Macaca fascicularis: one gene and its partners. The protein of the gene in region 4 interacts with the protein of the main gene of each other region in a pairwise test. Links are inferred from orthologs where the notes say so. Each region holds a gene or a part of one and is shown on either strand. Other genes may lie near its edges.

What was found.
Region 1: the proteins of RAD23A (region 4) and NGLY1 interact in binary tests that used the Homo sapiens proteins (3 or more experiments, as listed by UniProt). The two-hybrid records come from large-scale screens. The link is inferred for Macaca fascicularis from reciprocal best matches to the Homo sapiens genes RAD23A and NGLY1.
Region 2: the proteins of RAD23A (region 4) and ZBTB8A interact in binary tests that used the Homo sapiens proteins (3 or more experiments, as listed by UniProt). The two-hybrid records come from large-scale screens. The link is inferred for Macaca fascicularis from reciprocal best matches to the Homo sapiens genes RAD23A and ZBTB8A.
Region 3: the proteins of RAD23A (region 4) and MINDY3 interact in binary tests that used the Homo sapiens proteins (3 or more experiments, as listed by UniProt). The two-hybrid records come from large-scale screens. The link is inferred for Macaca fascicularis from reciprocal best matches to the Homo sapiens genes RAD23A and MINDY3.

What each region holds. Positions count from the first base shown.
Region 1 is NC_088376.1:22,570,180-22,573,748, forward strand, and holds part of NGLY1 (peptide-N(4)-(N-acetyl-beta-glucosaminyl)asparagine amidase), read left to right. Parts: intron 1-2,736; coding exon 2,737-2,851; intron 2,852-3,569. UniProt on the Homo sapiens protein: Specifically deglycosylates the denatured form of N-linked glycoproteins in the cytoplasm and assists their proteasome-mediated degradation. Cleaves the beta-aspartyl-glucosamine (GlcNAc) of the glycan and the amide side chain of Asn, converting Asn to Asp.
Region 2 is NC_088375.1:202,482,191-202,486,279, reverse strand, and holds the start of ZBTB8A (zinc finger and BTB domain-containing protein 8A), read left to right. Parts: upstream 1-1,239; 5' UTR 1,240-1,311; intron 1,312-1,539; exon of another isoform or gene 1,540-1,570; 5' UTR 1,571-1,671; intron 1,672-2,199; exon of another isoform or gene 2,200-2,554; intron 2,555-4,089. UniProt on the Homo sapiens protein: May be involved in transcriptional regulation.
Region 3 is NC_088383.1:16,727,341-16,730,909, forward strand, and holds part of MINDY3 (ubiquitin carboxyl-terminal hydrolase MINDY-3), read right to left. Parts: intron 2,233-3,569; coding exon 2,159-2,232; intron 1,322-2,158; coding exon 1,242-1,321; intron 1-1,241. UniProt on the Homo sapiens protein: Hydrolase that can remove 'Lys-48'-linked conjugated ubiquitin from proteins.
Region 4 is NC_088393.1:13,348,034-13,350,717, reverse strand, and holds part of RAD23A (UV excision repair protein RAD23 homolog A), read right to left. Parts: intron 2,435-2,684; coding exon 2,356-2,434; intron 2,241-2,355; coding exon 2,107-2,240; intron 2,017-2,106; exon of another isoform or gene 1,937-2,016; coding exon 1,832-1,936; intron 1-1,831. UniProt on the Homo sapiens protein: Multiubiquitin chain receptor involved in modulation of proteasomal degradation. Binds to 'Lys-48'-linked polyubiquitin chains in a length-dependent manner and with a lower affinity to 'Lys-63'-linked polyubiquitin chains.

The DNA of each region.
Region 1 (3,569 bases), on a different chromosome or scaffold from region 4:
AATGAGCTTTGATAGTGCCATTGCACTCCAGCTGGAGTGACAGATCAAGACTTTGTTTTTTAAAAACAAAACAAACCAAACTATATGAGAACTGATGTGTATTTTATAAGAATTTTTAAACAATTGTGAAAAAAGGAAGAAACTAGAAAATTCGCCTAGAGAAAGACCGAGCATGTAGAGATCTGAAAGCTGTAAGGAAAAGAATAGATTAAAATAGCTCAAGCAGTTTTGAACCAGTAGGTTATATCATCCTGGTGGTACTGACATGTTTATCACCCTGTGAAATACATTGAGTGTCAGGAAAAGATGCCTCATTTATCTAAAACTAGCTTTGATAAATGTAGGATTATTTTATAGTTCAGTTTTCTTAAGTGGTAAGAAAGAGAGGCTCACTTGTAACACAGTGTAGCATGGAAGCCAGGAATGCTGAATGTTCTGTAGTGCTCAAGGAAACTCCACTAAGAAAAGGTCCCACGTGTTAATGGTGCTGAGACTGAGAAACCCTAATCTAATACACAGAATAAAGAGTTGAGAATAAAATTTTCTTTGTATTTAACAACCATCTGTGATTCTCAAATTACATACAGTAAAGAACAATGTTTTTGTTTTAATTTCCAATCCCTTATGGACCAATAACTTTTGTAAAATACACTGAAAATTTCATGGCAGTATCAAATTGCTATATACCAAACATTCCATTTCTGTACTTCTTGCTTCATTTTTATGCCCTTGTAAACAAACAAAAGATTTCTGTACTTCTTGCATATGGGTAGCAAATAATTTGTAGATTAGCACCAATCTGTGGACATTTTGAATAGCACTATTTAGAGCTTTTGTCTCTGAATATTCTGTAATAAACTTACATGATTTTTGAAATTAGGGAAAAGTTTAAAAACATTCATTGAGTATTTATGACATTTGGCAATAGGTAGTTGACTGGTGAAAAACAAATGCAAAATTTGTTAAAACTTATAAAATTAAAATATTTGCTTTTTGGTTTTGTTTTTATGTCAGAATACCTGTGGAACATGTGTAGATAGGACAAAGTTGATAAGTCGTTTGCTAGCATTTGCCTACTCACCATACCATACCCCAGGCTGATGGCTTCTTATGGAAGTACATCTTCCTGTGGATCCCAGACACTGCCTCAGAATCCTCCTTAACATAGTACTTAAAGAAGTCCTATTACTTTAAGGCAGTTGGTATCAGATATGAAAGTTATCATCCTAAACTATGTTCTGAGAGTCTTTTGTATATAATACTGTCTTTATCTTAACCTTATGTTCTTTTAATGTTTTTTTCAAACAATTCTTCTGATTTATCAAAGTAATTAAAAATCTCAAACCAAAACTTTTCATGTGCTGGTTTCTTGTCTCAAGTATGCTATTCAAAATCTTAATTATGGTAAAAGAAATTTATATCTTCCTTTTATTGCTGTACTGTGTTGAGAATGTGTCTTGGGCCAGGTGCGGTGGCTCACGCCTGTAATCCCCAGCACTTTGGGAGGCCGAGGCAGGTGGATCACCTGAGGTTAGGAGTTCGAGACCAGCCTGGCTGACATGGTAAAACCCCGTCTCTACTTAAAAAATGCAAAACTTAGCCAGGAGCGGTGGCGCGCCCCTGTAATCCCAGCTATTTGGGAGGCTCAGGTGGGAGAATTGCTTGTACCCAGGAGGCAGAGGCTGTAGTGAGCCGAGGTTACACCACTGCACTCTAGCTTGGGCAACAGGGCGAGACCCCCTCTCAAAAAAAAAAGAATGTATTTTAAACTGAAGGGAGACCCCCCACCTCAAAAAAAAAAATGTACCTTAAACTTAACAGCACAGAATGTAACTTACTGTTTTCACTTACAGTAAGAACAATCACTGATTTAGGGAAGAAAGAAAATCAAGTGACTATAAAGGTATACCTAGGTCATGTTTGTTGAAAGTAAAGTCTTTGAAGAACTATGACCTGTTTTGTTTGTTTGTTTTGTTTTGTTTTGTTTTTTTGGAGACGGAGTCTTGCTCTGTCACCCAGGCTGGAGTGCAATGGCACAATCTCAGCTCACTGCAACCTCCGCCTCCCAGGTTCAAGCGACTCTCCTACCTCCTACCAAGTAGCTGGGACTAGAGGTGTGCATCACCACGCCCAGCTAATTTTTGTATTTTTAGTAGAGACAGGGTTTCACCATGTTGGCCTGGATGGTCTCAGTCTCTTGACCTCGTGATCCACCAGCCTCAGCCTCCCAAAGTGATGGAATTACAGGTATGAGCCACTGCACCCAGCCGTGATCTGTTTTTATATAACTTTTTAGTTTCTTTCATTCATTTCACGAATATTTGTTAACCACCATCTGTGTGCCAGGCACCATTCTATATGATGAAGATTCATCAGAACAAAACAGATAAAATTTTTTCCCCTGTTCAGAGATTACATGGATTTTTTTTTAAACAGCCTAAAAGACTCATTAAGGTGTCTAGACTTAACAGCACAGAATTAATATGTCACATGGATTTTCTTTGTGGCAGCATTAATATTATGAGGTGTGAAATTAAACAGTGAGGTGGTGCTAGATGTGTACTGAAGTAAGAGTCACAAAATTGAACTACTTTTCCAGACTGCTTCCTATTTATTTGAAGTTCAAGCCTATGCTACCATGTAGGAATGTAGCCAGTATAAAATATTAAAAGGAATACAAAAACACTATGAAAAATATAAATTACCATATATAATCAAACTTTTGTTTTTTGTCAGAAACCCTAATGATGAAAAATATAGATCTATCCGGATTGGAAACACAGCTTTTTCTACTAGACTCTTGCCTGTCAGAGGAGCTGTTGAATGTTTATTTGAAATGGGCTTTGAAGAGGTAAGTATGTTCGAGGATTTCCTCTCCCCTCTTCACGCACAAAGCAGTCGTTATCATGTTGGTGAATAATTGTTTGAATAAGATAATGTTTTTTAATTTATCATTTTGGGAATCAGTAGAAATAGTTGTTTCTTCACTGATTGGACATTTAAAAATCACAGCAAGTATAGTTTAAAATTTCAGTAAAGTATAACAACGCTCCACAGAGAAATTCTTACGAGTCTTAATTCTTGAGAAGAAGGGAGGGTCAAACATGCAACCCCAGGACCAAATGTGGTTCACTTTAGGCTTTTAGCAAAAACCTGATTTGTGAGCACACGTGAATACTAATAGATCTAGCTACCTGTCTCTAGTAGGAAATGAAAAGAGTCTGACGTAAACAGAAAAACTGAGTTCAGTTACCACACAGAAGGGGTTTCTTCTGTGACAGGAGAGGAGTCTCAGTATGTTTTTTTGTTTACTTCAAACGAATATTTTGGTGTTACCTTTTGGAATCTTGTGGTGTAGTTTAATTTTATGACACATTGAAAGTAGTTATTAAGATTCTGAATTTTCTTTATGTTTATATCCTTAACTAGTTCTCCTTTGTAGAGTGTTGAAAGAATTTGAACAGGTTACAGAGACTCAGTAGTCAGTAGTAGTTAGAATAGGCAATCGTAGAAATTGTTAAAGAGAGATGCTGAGCTGCTATGTAAGATTCAGTTTCCTTCGTGCCTCT
Region 2 (4,089 bases), on a different chromosome or scaffold from region 4:
GTCATTACCTCTTCCTTGCAACAAAGTTTTTTGTTTGTTTGTTTGTTTGTTTGAGATGGAGTCTTGCTCTGTCACCCATGCTGGAGTGCGGTGGCACGATCTCGGCTCACTGCAACCTCCACCTCCTGGATTCAAGCCATTCTCCTGGTTCAGCTGCCCCAGTAGCTCGGATTACAGGCACGCACCACTATGCCCAGCTACTTTTTATATTTAGTAGAAACAGGGTTGCACCATGTTGGCCAGGCTGGTCTCGAACTCCTGACCTCGTGATCCGCCTGCCTTGGCCTACCAAAGTGCTGAGATTACAGGCGAGAGCCACCGCGCCCGGCCACAACGAAGAGTTTATCACCAACCTGATGTGCTCTCTTGAGGAATAAGTTTGTGGAACTCTTTTGCATTAATCTTTAATTAAGGCTAAAATCAAACCTTTGGCTATAACCATGTCCAGGTCTTTCTGGGGGAATTCTCAATGGGGGGCGCTAGCAGAGTAATCTGAGTACATCCAATATACCTGATACCTAATGGTTTTCAAATATGTTTCTACTTACCTGTTCAGAAGGCAAGGAAACACAACTAAATAGCAAAGCACCTCTGCAGTGACACAGAAGTGACATTAAGAGACAATTGTGAAGATCTTGCATCCTCAAAATGCATAATTATTCCTGAAATCAAAGTTACAGACTGTCCAATATGACTGATTATGAACAGGAGAGGAATCCATTAAAAGCTAAACCCAAGTTTTGATAATTTGAACCTTTTTCCTCCAGTTTTACTATAACACAGTACTTTTCAGTACCTGACCCCAGCATAAGGAACTAGGAAACTAATTTATAGAAGTAATGCTTCTATAGTAACAGTGAAAATCCACTGATTTACTATTTTAGCAAATGTATAATCTGATATCTGTACTCTAAATATTAGAGATGTAAATTTGTCAGAGGAAGCTTGGTATACAATGAATGCTTGTATTGGAAAAGACGGAACTTGCTGTTTTTACTAATTTTGTATTTCTCTGGACTTAAACTAGGAATTATGTTCTCTTAGCTTCTCTGGGTTTTCCTCTTCAAATGAAATGCTTCTGACCTGTAGAGGTTTAGAAAAGGTTATCCTCAACTAAAATAACTGCTTCAATACAAGGGAAAATTCTGTGGAAATCTTTTGCATTTGACGTTGCTAAACTTAAGTACAATAATGTCACATGTACTTATACAGTAATTGTGGGCACGCCTAAGTCCCTCCCTCTTTCCTAAACCAAATTCCCCAGATCCTAGAAATCCAGCCCTTCTGCCCTCCGGAGGCGCCTTTCCCAACGTAAAGTACAATTTTAAATTTCAGCTCCTGACTAAAATCATGATCCGCAGTCAACTGCTAGAGAATCTGGGCACCCCGGTGCCTCTGGAGCGTGCAGCGGGTGTGGGCAAGGGCAGGGGGAGTGGGCGAAGCTGCTGGTTGGTGCCTGAAATCTGTGCGTTGCCCCTTTAATTGTGTCCCCAGCCCTCGGGCGTTTCTGTCCAACGCCCACGTCAGCAAATACCTTTTGTTTCTCTCACGTTGGGGCTACTTGTTTTAGGGCGCAAAGGAACGGCCTCGAAAGGGGGTCCTTCCCCAGCCGAGAACCAAGAATCTTCCCCCGGCCCGCGCGCGCGACCGGCCGGTGCGCCGCGGCCCGCGGTAAGTGGCGGCGCGCGGCGCCGGCGGAGGGCGGGCGGGCGTCGGGGCTGCCCGGGACCCGCCGCGAGCCTGGCCGCGGGCGGAGGCGCCGCGGGCTCTCACGGCCCGGGCGGCGGCGGTGCTGAGATGCGGGCCCTGGGCGCGCCTCCCCAAGACGTCCCCGGGCCGGGAGCGCGGCGGGAGGCGCCGAGGCGAGCGGGCGCCATTTGCAGCCCGGGGCGCAGCGGCGGCGGCGGCGGCGGCGCCGGCTCCGAGGGGCTGTGGGCGGCCACGGAGGACGCGCGGGCGGCGGCGGCGGGCCGAGCCCGGGGCGGCGGCGGGCGTTGGTGGGCACCGGCTCCCGGCCGCCCCTCCCCGCGCCCGGCCGCGCCGCCCAGCCCGCCAGGCCGGCCCCTCCTGCGCGCCCGGGAGGGGCTGCGGGACAATGGCCGCGCCGTCGCCGCCCGCGCCCGCCTAGCCGCCCGGCCCGGCCCGGGGAAAGGCGGGAAGGCGCGCGGAGCCTCCTGGCGGCGGCGGCGGGAAGGCGGCGGGGACGGCGCCGGGCGTGTCTGGAGCCGTCGAGCGCCGCGGACTCCGGAGGGGCTCGGGCTGCGCGGCGCAAAAACGGGCGGCCGCCGGGGGGGCGCGCGAGGAGGGCAGGGCCGGGGCCGGAGCCGGAGCCTCTGCGGGCGCGGCCAGGGGCGCTGCCGGTGAGCCTGGCTCCCAGGGCAGTAGCCCGAATTTCTCGGTACAGCCTCCATCCTTGGTTTTATGTCAAGATGCGACATCGGGGCTTAGAAAACCGAGGGCTAACTCACCGCGCCTAACCAATGTTGAGCTCCAACTATTTGCTTCTGGACGGAACCGTACATGCTCATCTCTACCCATGCTGACCGCCTCTTTTGTGAGTTAGTCAGCGGCTTGTTCCCTTCCCCTTCAGATGCGCTTATTTATCGCTGATTGTTCCAATGGCCCTACTCCACATCATTCTGAGACGCGTTTGGAAGCGGTAGATTTACACACACACCTGGTGGGCTTCTAACCACACGTCAGTATCACTATGCTTGATAAACCTTTATATTTGCACAACTTTAAATGGATTGCTTTCACCTATATGAATTATTTCACTTAATTTCACATAAAACAACCACTTAGGCTGACGGTAATTCCACTTTGCAAATGAGGGAACACGTGTGAAGCATGGCGTTTCACCTCTAGGCCAGGGTGACATAGCCACCCAGGACCTCCTGTTCCCGTCCTGCCTTCCCTCCTAAGGTACCTCCAGAGGAGTCTTTAGAAGGGCCAATCTTACACAGCGCTTCCCTGCACTGAAAACCTTAACTGATCTTTTTCAGGAAAGCCTCCAAAATCCCCAGCAAGCTTCTGCTCCAGTCTTAATCTCCTCCATGCCTCAGGTATGGATGCATTTGTGGACTGGAGCAAGAGCCCCTCACTGATAAGCAGGGATCAGATGTCTTTATTCCTGGGAACCTCTCTGGCCACACAAGTGGCAACTGGGAAGTGAGAATCTGGCTTAGGGCCCTTGACCAAATGGGTGTCTGGGTGGATTGTGCTCAAAAATGTCAGCAGGAGGCATAATGAGTAGGGACTCCAGGAAGGAGGCCAAGCCACTAACCCTTATCTCCAAGCCCTGAAATCACCAGCTTTGCTGTTGATAATGATTTGAGGCCATGAAAAACTTTGTAAGATAGAGTAATATTGATTCATCCTGTATCATTTAAATATAATTTTTAGATACAACTATGTCTAATAGATTTAACTCAGTGACACAATGATATGTTAATCATATTTAAAGGATTTGATGTGTTTGATTCCCTTGAATGAAGCTTTTGTTACTTTTGTGCTCAAAATTGGTCAGTGGTTCCCCATCTTACGCAGTTTAAAAGCCAAAAGCTCCATAATAGTCTATGCAGCCTTACAGCATCTGGTCTCACTATGTCCTACTTCTCTCATGATTTGCTTTCCCTTTCTGACTTCATATCCCATTGCTTCCCCGCTGCTCACCTCAGGGCCTTTGCGCTTGCTTTTCCCTTTGCCTGAAATACTGTTTCCCCAGACACCCACATGACTCTTACTTCCTTTGGACTTTACCCAAATACCATCTTCTCAATGAGGCTTTCCCCAACTATAGTTTTGATTCTCTTAAGTGTTTTTATTCTAAATCTTTTCTGTCTCATGCCATTTGTGCAGCTATAAAAATACTTTGGGACTGGGTAATTACACAGAACAGAAATTTATTTCTCACACTTCTGGAGGCTGGGAAGTCCAGGCAGTTTGGTGCCTAGTGAGGGCTGCTCTTTGCTTCCAAGATGGCACCGCGTTGCTGCATCCTCTGGATGGGAGGACTGCTGTGTCTTCACGTGGCAGAAGGGATAGAAGGGCAAGAGGGGCCAAACTCACTCCGTCAGGTCCTTTTAT
Region 3 (3,569 bases), on a different chromosome or scaffold from region 4:
AGAGCGAAACAGAGAGACCTAGAAAACCTGTATATTACCCAAGAGAGACTGAGATGAGACTTTTTTTCACTGACAGGATTAAATGCTTTCAGCTATGAATCAGAATAAGGGCTGAAGAACAGGATAAGCTCAATTACAGAGAGCTGAGCAAGATAATTTGTAGTTTTTGTTCACGAATTTCACTGTTTAAACTCTGACCTTTATTAGAAATCAGCAAAACTTGGTTCTCATTCTAACCTCACCACTAAGTAAATAATTTTGCATATGAATTAAATAAGAAGTGACCTTAGTTCTTAAATTTCTTAAATAGTAAAATGGGTTTTACTGTGGTGCTTTTTAATTCTGAAGTTTTAATTTTAATGATTTTTCCTTAATATTATACCCTTTCATGTTTCTGTTATTAACTACACATTTCGGAATTAGAGAAAAATTCAAATGGAAGATCATGAATCACTTCAATGGGAGCAAAAAGTGGTAACTATTATTTTCTCAATTATATTTGCTCTGTTTGCCTGTGAGCTCTGAGAACTCTAGAGCTTCGTGTCCTATACTACATACTTCATGGAGGTACACTGTGGTTACTCAATTTAAGTTAAATGAATAAATAAATGAATTCAGACTGACCCAGTAATAAACTGAAGGCAATTTTATTCCGTTATGTATCAGCTCTCCTTAATGGAATGGATTGGCCAAAATGGGATCCATTTCAATGTGCCTGGCAACACGTGAAGCCACAGGAAAGAAATAATTGAGACCAGAAATGGAAGTGGTGGTGGAAGAGTTGGTAGTTTAAAAGTCTCAGACAGTATTAAATTTGCTCTGTGTTTTAAAGTACGCACATTAAAAGTAACATAGGCAAAAACCCAAAGTAAATATTTCACATCACGAGGCTTTGTAATGCTCAATTTTAAGCAAAGAATGCAGTACTATCTCTGAATAAATATGCACTGTGTTTATATATATTAAGAGTCATAAATCCCAGTTTTATACCAGAGAAAATGAAAGGCTTGAGAAGTAACTTGACTAAAGTCATACATTTGGGATTTGAACCCAAGATCGCATGGCTTCAAGATTAATGGTCTTAACATTATGGTGCCTTGAAAACTGTAAAGGATTCTTCTAATTAGAAAGCACTTAACTTCTAGGTAATGTAGAGCCATTAAATAGATGAATAAAAATCAGCTGTATTCCACTGAAATATTATTCATCAAAGAGAGCAACATAACAAAGAATATACTTACTCATTCCTGAGCACTCTCTGTCACCATCCCATACATTAGAAACAGCATGTCCCGTCAGCAGGAGATTAATTAAACTTTGGCTATTAATAAATATTAAAAAGCAATTAAATATGAATATAACTAGTTGCCAAATCAAACAATTCCTATAGCAAGGTATAAAGTAATGACTTTTCACATTAAATTATGTAAGAATTTACAAAGTTAGGGAAAACCTTACATGTTCCATTTTATATATTCGGCCTTGCTAAATGTATCACTAAGTATATCAGCACAGTGGTATTTAGTGTTCTACATATTCACATACATTTAACAACTTTACCTAACATATATTTAAATGGATAAAAAATGATAGACTAATAATTTACTTAATATTTACAATCTTTAAAAATGAATATATAATTATTAATATTTTGTCTTTGATGAAAGATACATGAATTTTCATCTTTGAGGCAGAAAGGTCTAAAAAGGACTCATGTATTAGAGTAGGTTAACTATCACTGTTTCATTGATTTTTGGTAAAAATAGCCATAAAAAGCTTGAGAAGGAGGGTGGTCCGAGAGGAAAACTGGGAATTTTTTTCTCCCAAGCAGAGAAGCATTTACAAAGATATAATTATTTCTAAGTCAAAATGAATAAATTTTATCATTAAAAAATCATAAATGGATTTGTTAAAATACCTCCCCACTGTTATCTTAAAACAAAATATTTGCCACAATAAATACAACGCATACATAAAATGAAATTAACATTTCATAATCAAGCAAACAATGCATAAAACAAAGAAGTGCTCAAATCCATAGATGTTATACTGTTAACACCACTGACAAGCAAAATTACCTGACTCAGTCATGTTTTATCGTAAGTCAGGTTTCTAAAAACTAGAGTTCACATGAGGAGACGAGATTTTAGTTAATTACCTGCCATGTCCATATACAGGATCTATCAAGGGTTCACTTGCATCTTCAATTTCATTTTTTATGTTTTCAATGCCCTAAAGAAACAAAGAACTCATTGACTTATTTCAAAAAACGAAAATGAAAATTATGATAGTTTAAAAACTGACTAGTTTACACTATAAACTAATACAATTATTTAAGTAACTTTTCTACCATGAGTAACTCAGATTTGAAGTGGGGGGACATTTGAGATAACTGTAAAAAGTAGTTCCTCAAATATCTTTTATTTTCTTTCATGGGCTCTATATAAAGAACACTCATGGATGAAATATGTACTGTTGGTTAAAGGGGCAAGGAGAGAGAATTAACTTTTAATCGGAGAAAGGAGAAATTATTTAATAAATGAATTATTTAAAAGTTAAATGAGTATTAACCTGTTAAGGAAACTGATTTTTTTTAGATCATGTAAAAACTTATTGCAGTAAATACATACACAATGAATACTGATAGAGATATAACATTAAATAACTTGCATTTTAATTATTTAACTGGTACATAAAATGGAAGGTTTACTTCTGATTTTAAGTATTACTTCACAAATATTGGTCATTCAAATGTATACTTACAAAATGCAAATTAGAAGGCCAGGAAGTGCCTTCTTTTCTTAAAAACCAATTTCCTGATATTTTCTAAACCTCCAGAAGGGCACTCAGCTCCCAAAAGTTCTAGATACTGGGTAAGTACCAGAAGACCTACTAATTGTAACCTCATCAATTCCAAAAAGGACAAAGATAAACTGCCATTCATTGTTCTATTCACTTAACTTTAGCCGTTGGTTCTATCATTTCTAACAATTAAACAGATGATTAATTAACAACCAAGATTTTTAATGAATGACTAAATCTCGCAGGGGGAAACAAAGAAGCATGAGCTCTTGCATGTGCCATCCTCGTAAACAAAACAAATCAGGCTATGATAATGTCAAGATGAATACTATCAACAAGTGACACAATCACTAATGAGGAAGCGGATATCATTTTAAAGACCAGGTCAAGGAAGGACAACTTGCATGATAATTTATTGTCTGTAAAGAAGAAGAAACAGGAGATATCAAACGTTTTGAGCATTATAAAGTTAGAGAATACTGAACAGTCAAGAAGAACTTATAAGAAACCAGTCATCTTAGATACCACTATCACTGCTACTCCCAACATCTACACAACTAAGCACTTTTGGTTCTCTTATTTATACTTAATAATCCAAATAAGTATTTATTTACATTTCTAAATATGCTCCCTTTCTTTTCCACTCCATGACCTGTCCTAGTTTAGGCTTCTCTTATTTCAATACCCACTTTTCTAGTTTTCCTGACTCTAGTCTTGTACTACAAACACCAACTCTTATCCATCACAACTCCCTATCCCAATTTAAT
Region 4 (2,684 bases):
GCGGTGGAGGTCGCAGTGAGCCGAGATTGTGCCACTGCACTCCAGCCTGGACAACAAGAGCAAAACTCCATCTCAAAAACAAACAACAACAAAAAAACAGAGCGAAAAAGGGAAGGGGGAGGAAGCAGACAATGACACCAGAGAGGAAGGCCCAAGTCAGACCCATTTTCTAGAGCAGGGGGAAGCCACGATGGTGACAGTTACAGGGGAAAAGACGTGGTCTGTGGATCTTTTAGAAAGGTAAACTTGGCTGGGTGTGGTGGCTCACACCTGTAACCTCAATAATTTGGGAGGCAAGGCAGGAGGGACTGTTTGGGCCCAGGAGTTCAAAACCAGCCTGGACAACATAGACTGTGTCTCTATTCCCACCCACCAGCCACCAAACCAAAAAAAGTGAACTCATCTGGGTGTTGGGTTTAGGTATCTGGAAGTTCGTTTGTTCATTTTTGTTTCTGTTTTTTTTTTTTTTTTGAGACGGAGTCTCGCTCTGCTGCCCAGGCTGGAGTGCAGTGGCGCGATCTCGGCTCACAGCAAGCACTGCCTACCAGGTTCACGGTGTTCTCCTGCCTCAGCCTCTCCAATAGCTGGGACTACAGGCGCCCGCCACCACACCCGGCTAATTTTTTGTATTTTTAGTAGAGACGGGGTTTTACCATGTTAGCCAGAATGGTCTCAATCTCCTGACCTCGTGATCCACCCGCCTCTGCCTCCCAAAGTGCTGGGATTACAGGCGTGAGCCACTGTGCCCGGCCTTTGTTTCTGTTCTTTTTGAGACAGTCTCACTCTGTCACCCAGGCTGGAGTGCAGTGGGGCAATCTCAGTTTACTGGAATTTCTGCCTCCTGGGTTCAAGCACGTCTCATGCCTCTGCCTCCCGAGTAGCTGGGACTACAGTGGCCTGCCACCATGCTCAGTTACTTTTTCTACTTATAGTAGAGACAGGTTTTTGCCATGTTGACCAGGCTGATCTAAAACTCCTGACCAAGTAGTCCGCCTGCCTTAGTCTCCCAAACTGCTGGGATTACAGGCACGAGCCACTGTGCCCTGCCTGGGTATCTGGAAGCTTTCATGCAACTCTACTATTGTCTACATTTGACCATTTTCGCATTAAAGCAGAAAGTGCTTTTCAGTTATCTGCCTCATGATGGAAAGTGGACTGCGGGACTGTGCAGTGGCAGAGGCCCAGGAAGAGGCTGCCAGGGAGCTGGAGTGCAGGAGGCGCTGAGTGGGAAGAGCAGACAGGACGAGGGATGGACCCCAGCAGGTCCCCAGGGCCTGGGGCTGAAGCAACCCCAGGCTAGTCCTTGCAGAGATTGGGGAGGACTGAGGAGGTCTGTTCTAAGTCTTAGAAGTCTAGTCTAGAGAGCACTTTGATGGAGAGATTAAGCCAGCCATGGAGTGTGGCATTCAGAGAGGCCTGGGCTGGCTACATAGATGTGGGGGTTCCCATACAGACTGAAGGCCCCAGGACATTATGAGGGAGGGCTGAGTGCAGATGAAGAACAGGATCGAGCAGGAGGAGCCGGCAAAGGACTGAGAAGTGAGGAGAATGGGCAGACAGCAGGGTCCTGAGCCAAGACCGGTAGGCACTTCACCAAGGACCCAGAGGAACCTGCTTGCAGCTGGGGGGTCACTCCCCCACTCTTCCTGTGAACCTTCAAGGGCAAGGTGGAGCCTCACAGAGCAGAGTCATCCCAGAGCCAACTGGGGCACAGCTGTCCTGGGTGATGTCATGCCACCTTACAGACATTTACGCAGCACCATCTGTATGTGGAGCCAGAGCCAGAGCCCCAGCCCAGGACCCTGAGGCAGCAGGCAGACACATACATTACCAGTTGTATGACCCTGGGGATGACAGGCTGCTCTAAGCTTCTGGTGTCTTCTTCTGTGGGAGGTGATGTTGACAGCACCCACATCTCACAAGATGGTTGGGAAGACTGAGAAACCGTGGGGATCAACAGGTCACAGGAAGCATGGGGGCGTGGGGGAAGCATGTGCTTAGTCCTGCTTTCCAGGCCTAGAACAATTCCTACATGTTATGGACTCTGGTGCCCACAGGGAACAAAAATGGTGGCTGCCATGGCTCCCTCTGCCCTTGGGATCACACCTGCAAAAGCTGAGGGTTCTCCTGGCCCAGCTGCTGGAGCAGAGCGGGCAGCAGCGCAGGGTTCTGCTGAATCACCTGCCGCATGTTCTGGAACTGGGGCTGGTCCCGCAGGAACTCCAGGGGGTTCTCTCCTGCTGATAGTAGGAAGGGGTGCAGTCAGACACCATGCCGGGCTCCTAGGAGCACTGCGGGGTGGAGTGTGATGTGAGTCAGGTACCTGAAGGGCAGATGCAGCACGTGCACACCCACCTGCTTCCGTGGCCGGCTGCTCGGATACCTGGCTCTCCTGGACAGAACCGTGTTCCGGCTCGGGGCTCCCAGGAATTCCCTGTCAGGGGTCCTGTTTAGTTCTAATGCACAGACCTCCTGCTGCCACCCTCCTCCATGCCCTGGCTGGACACAGATGAGGCCTCGGCCCTGCCCTCCAGAGGCCCACCCACCACTCACATCCAGCCTCCTGTGGGAAGCCTTTAGTGGCTAGAATCACTACCCAAAGGCTCTTCAGGGCAGGTTTTGCCTTCCCAACCGCCCATCAGGGCAGTGAGGCCCGTATACACCCTCAAGGCCTTCCCAGGAGG